Linked DNA regions of Macaca fascicularis. The protein of the gene in region 3 binds, or shares a complex with, the protein of the main gene of each other region. Links are inferred from orthologs where the notes say so. Each region holds a gene or a part of one and is shown on either strand. Other genes may lie near its edges.

Region 1 (3,653 bases), on a different chromosome or scaffold from region 3:
TGTAGAATCATCATGAACACCTTTCTCACACATTTAAAAATTGTCACAACCTGTTATTCTACCTAATTATTTCTTTTCCATTTCCACTGCCACAACTCTAATTCAAACCATCATCCTCTCTTACTAGGTTTACTATAATAACCAACTAAGTGGTCATCTGGTCCAGTCAAACTACTTTCCCACTTGCTTCTTATTGTTTTGTTCTTGTGACAAGGTCTTACTCTGTCTCCCAAGCTGGAATGCAGTGACATAATCACAGCTCACTGCAGCCTTGACTTCCCAGGCTAAGCAATCCTCCTCCCTCAGCCTCCCAAGCAGCTGGGATCACACATAGGCATCACCATGACCAGCTAATTTTTTCCACTTGCAAGCTAAAGTCATTTCAACATTGCTCTTTCCTACTCACCTATTAGCTGCCAGAGAGCAAGAACCCCTATCTGTTTTGCCAATACCTACACTTTGAACAATGCCTAACACACAGCAGGAATTTGAATTAATTGTTGAACAAACAAATGACATAACCCTGAGCCTATCAATACAGCACTAAAAATTATATTCCTTCTCAGAGTGCCAAATGTAAAGGTTTCATGAGTTCAGTTAACAACACCCTAATAAGACTCAGGAGGACAAACTGAAAACTTCCGAAATCAGGTATGCCAACTAGCAAAGAAATCTTACTTCAGCAGTTCATTCCTACTTCCACTATAAAGTTATCTTCAAAAAAATTTCATAGAAAAAGTATATTCTGCCATGTTGTTTTCCTTAAAAAGATGTTATAAATTTGTAGTAACAAGCATGTAATAATTTATAGTGTAAAAGCTTGAATATTAAAAAGATAAGGAATCACTGACACGGTGCTACAGTGGCACCTAAACTTTCTAGTCTAACAGGCATTCAAGTTACCTAGGGGAAGGGAGTGGTTTTTTTTGATGAAATAAACTAATACACATCTTACCTCTCTCTTATCAAAGGCATGGCTCAATATCTAAGAAATTTCCCTGAAATGAACCACCAATATGAAAATGTATCTACAAAAGTCAACCGAACAGCAATACAGAACAGAGATTTCTCTTTTTTAAAAAATAACTAGAAATAGAATAAAAATGAAGACATGTTTCATACCCTCAAGTCTTCCTGTACTGTCTGAGCTATGTCTGCAGGTGCTGGAGAAGAACTCTTCTGAGTATCCTCAGGAGCAGTTTCTTCTAATACTGGCTCAGGCTTTTCCTCTTGGATTTCAGATACAGGTTCTTGTTCTGGTTCTGGTTCAGGATCAGGCTCTGGTTCAGCAACAGGCTCCTCTAAATGTTCTTCCATGTCATTACTTTGATGGAAAAATTTGAGAAATATCATTCTGCCACCATTTATTTCGCAAAAAATTCCCCATCATTTATTAACCAGAAACCAGAACATAGAGTTAGCTCCCTCTATTCAAAAAAAAAAAAAAAAAGCTAAGAATTGTATATCTGAGTTTTTAAAAAGTAATTTTTAAAATGCCACTCAATAACTTCACTGGAATCCATTTGGGCAAATTCTGATAAGCAAATGAATCAGGACATCAAAATGAACCAAACCACTTTATGGCTGGAATCCCACAATCATTACAATTCATTTAGCATACAACATCAGAAAAACTCTCAAAATAGGCTGGGGGAGGGGGGAAAGAAAGTTGCCATTCAATAGGTACAGTCTGTTTGTAAGGTATATGAAGTTATCTTCAATAAGATTTGTAAGGTGAAAAGTCCTAGAGATCTGTCATACAACCGTATCTATACAGTTAACACTACTATACTTTATACTTAAAAATGGTTAAGACAAAAAAAAGGTTAAGATGGCAAATTTTATGATATGTGGCTTTTAACACAAACACACAAAAACTTTCAAATACGTAAAGAATTTGGGGGAGAAAATATATTAGTTATGATTCAGAATACAATTCTTAAAATTCCACATAAATCAAACCAGGAATGCTGTTAAAACTGCAGAGGGGCTGGGCACACACCTGTAATCCTAGCACTTTGCGAGGCCAAGGTGGGCAGATCACCTGAGATTAGGAGTTCCAGACCAGCCTGGCTATGGCGAAACCTCATCTCTACAAAAATACAAAAATTAGCCAGGCATGGTGGTATGCGCCTGTAGTCTTAGCTACTCAGGAGGCTGAGGCAGGGGGATTGCTTGAACCCAGGAAGCAGAGGTTGCAGTCAGCCAAGATCATGCCACTGCACTCCAGCCTGGGTAAGAGAGCGAGACTGTCTCAAAAGAACAAAAACAAAACTGCAGATGTTTTGCCTCCTGAAAGTCTAATTCAGTAGGTTTGCAGTGGGACCATGAATCTTCATTTTCAACCAGCAATCCAAGTGAGTAACCTGATTAGTTCATCACACCTTGAAAAACACTTGAAAACACCCTTCAGGCACTGATATTAACATTCAGTGTCACATGGTAACAAGTAAATATGGATTTCTTTTGCTATCAAATACATTTCTGTTCCAATCACAAGGGGGGAAAAAACCCAAAGGTACAATGATGCACTTACAAAGGTAATGAAATTCTTTATTGCTACTTAACTCACATATTGGTATTTATATCAATTTATGCCCAATCTCTAATAGGTGTCTGTCCACTTCATATTCCGTCAAAGCATTTAATACCTCAATACATCCAACTCTTGATAAACAATATGCAAGTTTTCACTTAACACCAAGAAAAAATTGAACCAAAAAGAAACCGATATTATTTAAACTAAGCAATAGTAGATTGCCTTCACAGTACAATTTATTATTAACAATAAGCTACATATTTTTGTTTACTCAAAATTACCAGAAACAAAACCATTCTTCTAAGAAATTATTATTTTGAGGTAATTCTCAGAATATGTAAATGCCCTCCAACAAAGGGAAAGACTAGACAATGCAAGTTCTTATGCAGCCGCAGACATGTGAACAAAATTTTCTTACCTGACAACTGCCTGATCATAGAAAGTTCCAGAATCATCAGGTACCACCTCAGGTGTTTGCTGTCTTTCTTCAGGTTCCTCTACTTCTTCTTCAGATTCTAAGTGAGAAAAAGATATTTAAAATAATTTGTACTTACTGAATTCACATATACATTCACTTTCACAATGTTCACAAAACAACAGTGAAGAAAAACACATATAAATAAAGTAGGGCAATTTGGTAAAAATCATGGCATTGACTTTAAGGACAGAACTAAGGCTTTTAAGGATAGACCTTTTTTTGGTTTGTTTTTTTTGTTTTTTTTTTTTTTTTTGAGACGGAGTCTCGCTCTGTCGCCCAGGCTAGAGTGCAATGGCGCAATCTCGGCTCACTGGAAGTTCCACCTCCCGGGTTCACACCATTCTCCTGCCTCAGTCTCCCAAGTAGCTAGGCGTCCGCCACCACGCCTGGCTAATTTTTTCTATTTTTAGTAGAGACAGGGTTTCACCATGTTAGCGAGGATGGTCTCGATCTCCTGACCTCGTGATCCGCCTGCCTTGGCCTCCCAAAGTGCTGGGATTACAGGCGTAAGCCACCACGCTCGGCCTTAAGGATAGACTTTAAGGCTACTGTAGTGTCTTGGTTTTTAAGAGCATGGAGCCTAATGCAGGCTTTCACATAACTGGCTACATTAGCCAAATTACATTAGGCAGTTAT
Region 2 (3,653 bases), on a different chromosome or scaffold from region 3:
TCTCCAGTGTCCCTCTGCACAATGTCTGGGGCAGAGCCAGCTTCTGTGAAGGTTTGTCTCATGAATCATATGATAAATGTGCTAAACTATTCTCAGGGGGTGAGTTCTAAATTGGAATCAAATTGGAGGTAGGCGAAAACACCTTGTCATTAAAAATGCAACCTAGAGTACCTGACATTTCTTACTGAGAGGTGGTGGCTGCCTTTCTTTATTGTAGACAAAGAACCCCAGTACCAGATCCTCAGTTCAGATCCCTGTACTGCTACTCACTAGCTTTGGGGAGTTAGATCCCCCACTTTCAATCTGTTTTCTCATGTGTGAAATGGGACAATTCCTAACTCTATAATGCCATGAGTTGGAGTTATAGCTACGCATACAGGTTATTTTCACATACAAAAGTAATGTTATTTGGTTGAGGGCTGAAAAAGACTTTGAAGGTCATATAGTTCGACTCTCAACCTGATGCCTGAATCCTTTTTACAACCCTGCCAAGTAGTTTAGCTGCTGCTAAAACAAGTCCCATGATGGAGAACTACCTCCCAAGATGGCCCATTTTAAATTTGGGCAGTTGACCGATAAGAAGTCTTTCTTCCAAGTCAAAAATCTGTCTATTCATGATCCCTATCATCTGCCTTAAGCAGCCATCAGCCTTCTGCTCTTATGAGTAACAGGGCTGATGACATTGATATACACAGAAAGAAATTACAAAGAAACACTTAACCTGTGACTTGATCAACCAGGATTCGTGAGGTGATGATACGGCCGTATTGCGAGAAAAGCTGCTCCAGTTCCTTCTGGGTCATGGTTTTGGGAAGGCCGCTAACATAGAGGTTAGCATCCCTGATTGAGGCAGAGCTCGGACGGGCATATGAGACCTAGGAAAAGGCAAGAGGAGCTAATTCCATTATAGGCAATCACCCTCAGAGTAGACGCCGAGTCCACAAACAAGATGACAGTCCCTCATCTACCGTTACAACTAATGGTGTCAGTTTAAATCACTCAGTAGTTCAGATTTTTAGCTACTCTTCTAATAGTAATGAGAACCAGGAGAACAACAATAGAGGAACAAGAGGAGAGTTGATGATAACTTAAAACAAATGCACAGATAAGGGTCTCTAAGTGCAGAACAAAATAGCTACTGTATGGCAGCTGTTAAATGCAGAGCTACCCACGCATGGAGTTCTGAAGATTTACCTCCTGGATGTGGGTGTATAGATGATTTACTGTATCCAACACATAATAATCTTTGAATAAACCAAAAAAAAAAAAAACTCATGAAATTCTGCTCTGCACATTTCTCTCCTTGCCACCCTCCCTACCCCCATCCCCTTCTTCCTGAATACATAAAAGCAATCAGGTTTTCTGCAAGATTTTTTTATGTTCCATCCTTTGTGTTGCTCCAGTCTGCTCCCATGAGGTCTGCTCTTCAACGAATGACAAAGTGCTGGTGAAATAGGGCTGAATGAACATCTGCTTGCGAAACTGGATATGTGACCTTGTCGTCACATCTGCAAGGACCAGTTGCCTCTAACTTTGAAGCAGGGCAGATAAAAACCACAACAAACAAAATGGGGGCACGATGGAAAGGAGGGAGGGAAAGGGCAGTAGAGAGAGAGAAGAGAGCCTCACCAATGGTTATAATAAGTTCGACTTTGTAAATTTGTCCTCCCAGATCTCTCAACTGCTTTTTTTCCCCCAAAAAGCTAACACAGAAGTGTAAACAGATCTGAAATTCCATCTGCAAGAAGCCAAATCTGTAGCAGTACACATAAGCAAAGCAAACCCCAGCAGTCATTAATTTTAGACTTTCATTTACTTATTTATTTATTTTTTAAGAAAACAACATCAGACATTTGAAATATAATTTACAGCTAGTCTAACAAAAGCACTTTCCTGCTAAAGCTATTTCTGGGGTGGTTATGGCTCAGAATAGATGATGAAAACAGTCATTTCAGAGCACATCTGACAACGTTGGACAGGAAGAGACCTATATGCCTTAGCATTTTTCAGTTGGAAGTTTTATTTAATCCATATAACTGATTCATAAGACCTATTAAGACTGTAGGGGTGAGAGTGTGTGTGTGTGTGCACATACACACAAAAGCATGTGTGCAAAAGGAATTGAACACGTTAAACCAGACCTTTGACATTAAGACCTAAACCTCCAGCAGTAAAGTGGGCCTTGCTTCTGTGACCTTCAGGGAAGAGAATGGGTCTAGCAAAGAAGATGAAGGATGAGCAGAACCCTCATCCATGGCACTCTCCCCCTTTCCATGACAGACATGCCAGGTCCCTTTATGAGTTCCACACCTAAAAATAGATGTTGACTCAACAGATAAAATGATGTGAGTGACTAATCTGCCTCGCTGGCCTCCTCCTGCTGATGGAGTGAGGCAGCTGCCTTCAGTATCTCCATCTTCTAGAAACTCATAGGTGGGCTGGGAGGCCTCTGGAGGCTCCTTCCCAGCACATGGCTGAGAGGTAGAGGGGCCTTTATACACAGGGTCCCAGTGTGTGCATTTGGGTGTGGGCTGAAGGACTAAGAACCCCATGTGACTGTCTGGACGGGGTTTCACTCCACGGAAGGTTCTCCCACCCCTGTTTTTTAAGGGACCAAGTCTGTCAATAGCAGAACCATTTTTTGAGTAGGAGGAAGAAGTGGTAGGAGAAGGAAATAAAAACATCATAGTGATATGCCCATGGCAATGAGGGTCACCCTTGTTTCACCCTGCCAATTACTGACAAATTAATTATCTGAATGACATTTGTGCTCCCTCAAAACACAACCTACCACTTTTATGCCATTGCTCATACAGACATTTTTTTTTCTACCTACTTCCCCAAGTCCAAATCCTACTCCTCTTCAGGGCTCAGCTCAAATGACATCTTCTCTAGGCAGCTTTCTCTAATCTCACCTTCTCCTAAATAATCTCCCCAGCAGTGCTCTCAATGAACCATGGTACTTAACCTGTTTCAACCTTAACTCATCACCTCTCCATTGAGGCTGATGATCTCTTTAGGTTGTAGGTCTTGTGTGTGTGTGTGTCTTATTCAACTCTGTGGCTCTAGCTCCCAGCACATAGCCTGATACCTATCGAGTATTCAACACCAACTGAAAAAAAAAAAGAATAAACACCCACAGCTCATGGGAAATGATGCTGGCATTACTGGCTCTTTGGAGTTAACTGTAGCTCTAGTAAGGTGGACCGCTGAAGAGTCAGGCACCCAGAATCCCAGCTGTGTTTCTCCACCAAGCTAAGAGCTAAGGGACAAATTTCCCATTTTCTAGTGCCTGGGGTTGGAAGGACTGAAAGAAGATTGTTTTAGGACTAGACATCACATAGAGGCCTTCTCTTAGCAAATATTTCCTCAGGATCTACTGTGAGCCAGGTACAGTGGTATGTGCTGGGAACACAGCAAGAACAAGGCATGGTCTCTTGCTGTAAAGGAACTCCAAGTCCAAAAAGGGCAACAGACAATACACAGGAGGCACTCAATAAAATGTGTTGAACAGAAGAATGGATGAGTAAACACACAGACTAATTATCACAGTGCCACAAGATGTGTGTGTTATGCCAGGGATACGTATGAGTGTGACTGAAACACAGAGGAAGGAGAGATTAATCAAAGGTTAAAAGGGCCAGGAAGGAGAC
Region 3 (3,653 bases):
TGCATCACTGTTTTATGATAAGGAAAAGTTTAAAACAATTTAAACACCAATCAAGAAATAGGAGATTGATCACATGAACTATGGATAAGCTATACTGTGGAATTCTATGCAGTTATAAAAAGAATGAGGTCTGTCCATATGTACTAATATACGTGCTGATACAGAAAATGAAAAAAATATAGAACAGCCTGTTCAGTGTGATTCTCTTTGAGCTAAAACACATGTGCACACATGAATACACACAGGCACACATAACCATACATGTAGGCACGCATACATAATATACACACACTTGTGAGTGCACAGAATTTCTAGGAGGTCATACAACAGGAGTAAGAAGGGGTGGGGTATGGCAGCACACGCCTATAATCCCAGCAATTTAGAAGGCTGAGCTGGGTGGGTCATTTGAGTCCAGGAGTTCAAGACCAGCCTGGGTAACATGGCGAAACCCTATCTCTACAAAAATCACAAAAAACTAGGCAGGCGTGGTGGTGCATGCCTGTTGTCCTAGCTACTCGGAAGGCTGAGGCGGGAGAATCCCTTGAGACCCGGAGGCAGAGGTTGCAGTGAGCTGAGATCATGCCACTGTACTCCAGCCTAGGTGACAGAGTCCCTGTAAGAAGATTTCTCAGTTTACATCTTTTTGTGCAATTGCTGACTGTATTTCTTATATGTCTGTATTACAGCTTGGAAGTTGAGTTGGGGAGGCTAACTGGACTACCAGTCCCTGAAGAGCCAAGAAAAGCTGGAGACTTACGTTTTGGTGTCCTTGGCCTCTTTATGCATAATCTCCAAGATCATCTTGCAAGCGGAGGAGCAGCCCTCAGGGGTGGAGTGCACACTGATGGCTTTTTCAGCTGCACCTGCATTCTCCTTCCTATGCACGTCTATCCTGGGGGCCACAAGAACAAGGCTGGTTAGTCGTCCCCAGTGATACCAGTACTTCAGGCTCCCCACCCCCACTACCACTCCTCAGTCAAAGGCATAGAACCTGCTCTTCTTGGAACAAGGCCAATCAAGTTCAAATTTGGGAAGGGCAATGAAAGGACTGGAGAGACATGACCCATCTGTTACTATGGATTCTCTCTCAGACCAGCAATGCCTCAATCCACAGGTGGTTGGTGGCCAGGCACGGTAGCTCATGCCTGTAATTCCAGCACTTTTGGAGGCCAAGGCGAGTGGGTTACTTGAGGCCAGGAGTTCGAGACTAGCCTGGCCAGCATGGTGAAACCCCGTCTCTACTAAAAATACAAAAAAATTAGCTGGGTGTGGTGGTGCACACCTGTAATCCCAGCTACTAAACAGGTTGAGGCACAAGAATTGCTTGAACCTGGGAGGAGGCTGCAGTGAGCTGAGATCACACCACCGTACTCCAGCCTGAGTGACGCAGTGAGACTCTGCCTCAAAAAAATAAAAAATAAATAAATAGATAAATAAATAAGTGGTGGCTGGGGACAAGAACACAGCAGGGGTGGGAATTACACAAATGCAGGGGTGGGAACTACCAGCCCACAGTTCCAAAGCTGCATTTCCACTTGAATTTCGTATGTCCCCCTTGAAACAAATATAAAGAGAGGACACAGTGCCCCAAACTCAAAGTAAATAACAAGAGTTACTATGATAAGGACATAATGTGGCATGTCCTTTGCCACTGAGTACACTGATATGATATAACAATTAGAGAAAAGGCCTGGTGTGGTGGCTCATGCCTTTAATCCCAGCACTATGGGAGGCTGAGGCAGCCGGATCACGAGGTCAGGAGCTCCAGACCAGCCTGACCAACATGGTGAAACCCTGTATCTATTAAAAATACAAAAATTAGCCAGGCATGGTGGCACGTGCCTGTAATCCCAGCTACTCGGAAGGCTGAGGCAGGAGAATGGCATGAACCCGGGAGGCACAGGTTGCCATGAGCCAAGATCACACCACTGTACTCCAGCCTGGGCAACAGAGCGAGACTGTCTCCAAAAAAAAAAAAAGAAAAGAAAAGATTAGAGAAAGAAGGTAACAGTGGCAGAATGGGAGATGGGACACAATTAATGAGGGTCCTAATTTTGGACAGGTTGGCCAGCCCTGTTACCACATTAAGTGGTCATGAAATCACAGAGGACTGAGGAGTGGCTGACTCATCAAAATGAGGTTTGCTTGGAGACTTTTTTATGAAACTGCACGAAAAATTATAGAACCTCTCTTGCTAAAACAAGTGTGTGGCCCAGCACCCCAAGACCCATTCTCCCTCCCTATCTGCCCTCCCTTTCCCAGGAGGCTGGTATTGGAAGCAGTGACCCCTGAATGCTCCAGGCAACATTTCCTAAAAGGTAAATGTTGATGTCCCCAGCATGCTTCCAGGCTTCTAGTGGGCCTCTTTAGGTACCAACCACTGTTCCCTAGCAACCAGCCTCCATTTCCCAAGAGCCAGGACTCACTTGGACTGGGTCTGTTTTGTGATGTTGCGGATGGTGGCCCCCTCCTTGCCAATGATGGCACCCACATACTGGGTGGGCACCAGGAGCCGAAGGGGGATGTCCACTTGCTGCTGCTTGGCTGGGGCCCCCGCTGCCACAGGTGAGCCCTGGCGGGGCTGACCCCGAGAGCCAAAGCCCCCTCGGCGCCCATTCTCAGGTCCCTGTGCTATCTGTTCATCAGGGATGTAGGAGACCTTCAGAGCATGGTTCTCCAACTGGTGGCCATTCAGCTTCATGATGGCTCTGGGGACAGAGTGAGAGTCTACAGTCATTCCAATCCATGCCAATCATACCAGACGCTCTCTTGGCCAAAGCACTCTAGTAAGTTACAGCTTGGAACACACTAAAGAAAAGGAGATAGTCGCCTGCCCACTACTCCCACCTCCATTTTATAGAACTTTCCAGTCTAAATGGCATCAGACTCCAAAGGAAAAGTAAATAAATACAGTGTTCCCTAACTTAGTTGGGATTTAATGTTCACAAAGGCCTTCCACTGGAACCATCAGAGAAATGGGCTTCTAGTCCAACAGAGTATAGGGTTCTGTCAGCCTAAAAAGGAAGAGCAAGCCATAAATCTCAAAGTCCTCCCATGCCAACTGGAGAGCATACCACAGACCTGAAGAGGCTCTGCAAAGCTAACACGTACACTTTCTGGATTGAGGAATCCCTACCACAGGGTGAGGAAACCGACTGCTAACTACTACATTATCCTAACTTTGGAGACAATGAAACCAAGGTCAAAGGAGATTGAGATGTATATATGTAGAATTCAAATGTTAATCCTGCCCTAAAGAAGTGTGGGGTTTATTTTTGTTTTTGAAATAAAATCTTTCAGGCAAAAATTAATATTTCCATAATTAAGATAGAGCAAACACACATTCTTGAGTCCATTATTTAAGCAAATTTATACTATAAATGACTTCCATGAATATTAGAGTTCCTGAATATGATTTGAATGTTTGCCTACAGGCTTATAGGAAGTTTCTGTAGCCTTCTCTTTGTAGAAATTCCAGTTTTTCTAAATTTTTCCTTCCTTCAGGTATTCCATTTTGCATTCTTCATAAAAGGCTGGATCATTGTAGTGAGCAGTTAGACATTCTTTTAATAGAGGATTTTCTTTATGGCATTTTCCTACCATAAGGATTCCAGAGTTCTTGCAACATTTGGTAAAATCTTGAAGTTGTTCAG

What was found.
Region 1: IGF2BP1 (region 3) and G3BP1 share a complex: the UniProt entries of both Homo sapiens proteins name them as parts of the TAU mRNP complex. The link is inferred for Macaca fascicularis from reciprocal best matches to the Homo sapiens genes IGF2BP1 and G3BP1.
Region 2: IGF2BP1 (region 3) and ELAVL4 share a complex: the UniProt entries of both Homo sapiens proteins name them as parts of the TAU mRNP complex. The link is inferred for Macaca fascicularis from reciprocal best matches to the Homo sapiens genes IGF2BP1 and ELAVL4.

The regions. Positions count from the first base shown.
Region 1 is NC_088380.1:158,647,772-158,651,424, reverse strand, and holds part of G3BP1 (ras GTPase-activating protein-binding protein 1), read right to left. Parts: intron 3,055-3,653; coding exon 2,958-3,054; intron 1,325-2,957; coding exon 1,123-1,324; intron 1-1,122. UniProt on the Homo sapiens protein: Protein involved in various processes, such as stress granule formation and innate immunity. Plays an essential role in stress granule formation.
Region 2 is NC_088375.1:184,544,722-184,548,374, forward strand, and holds part of ELAVL4 (ELAV-like protein 4), read right to left. Parts: intron 876-3,653; coding exon 722-875; intron 1-721. UniProt on the Homo sapiens protein: RNA-binding protein that is involved in the post-transcriptional regulation of mRNAs. Plays a role in the regulation of mRNA stability, alternative splicing and translation.
Region 3 is NC_088390.1:57,676,003-57,679,655, forward strand, and holds part of IGF2BP1 (insulin-like growth factor 2 mRNA-binding protein 1), read right to left. Parts: exon of another isoform or gene 2,715-3,653; intron 2,709-2,714; coding exon 2,427-2,708; intron 893-2,426; coding exon 758-892; intron 1-757. UniProt on the Homo sapiens protein: RNA-binding factor that recruits target transcripts to cytoplasmic protein-RNA complexes (mRNPs). This transcript 'caging' into mRNPs allows mRNA transport and transient storage.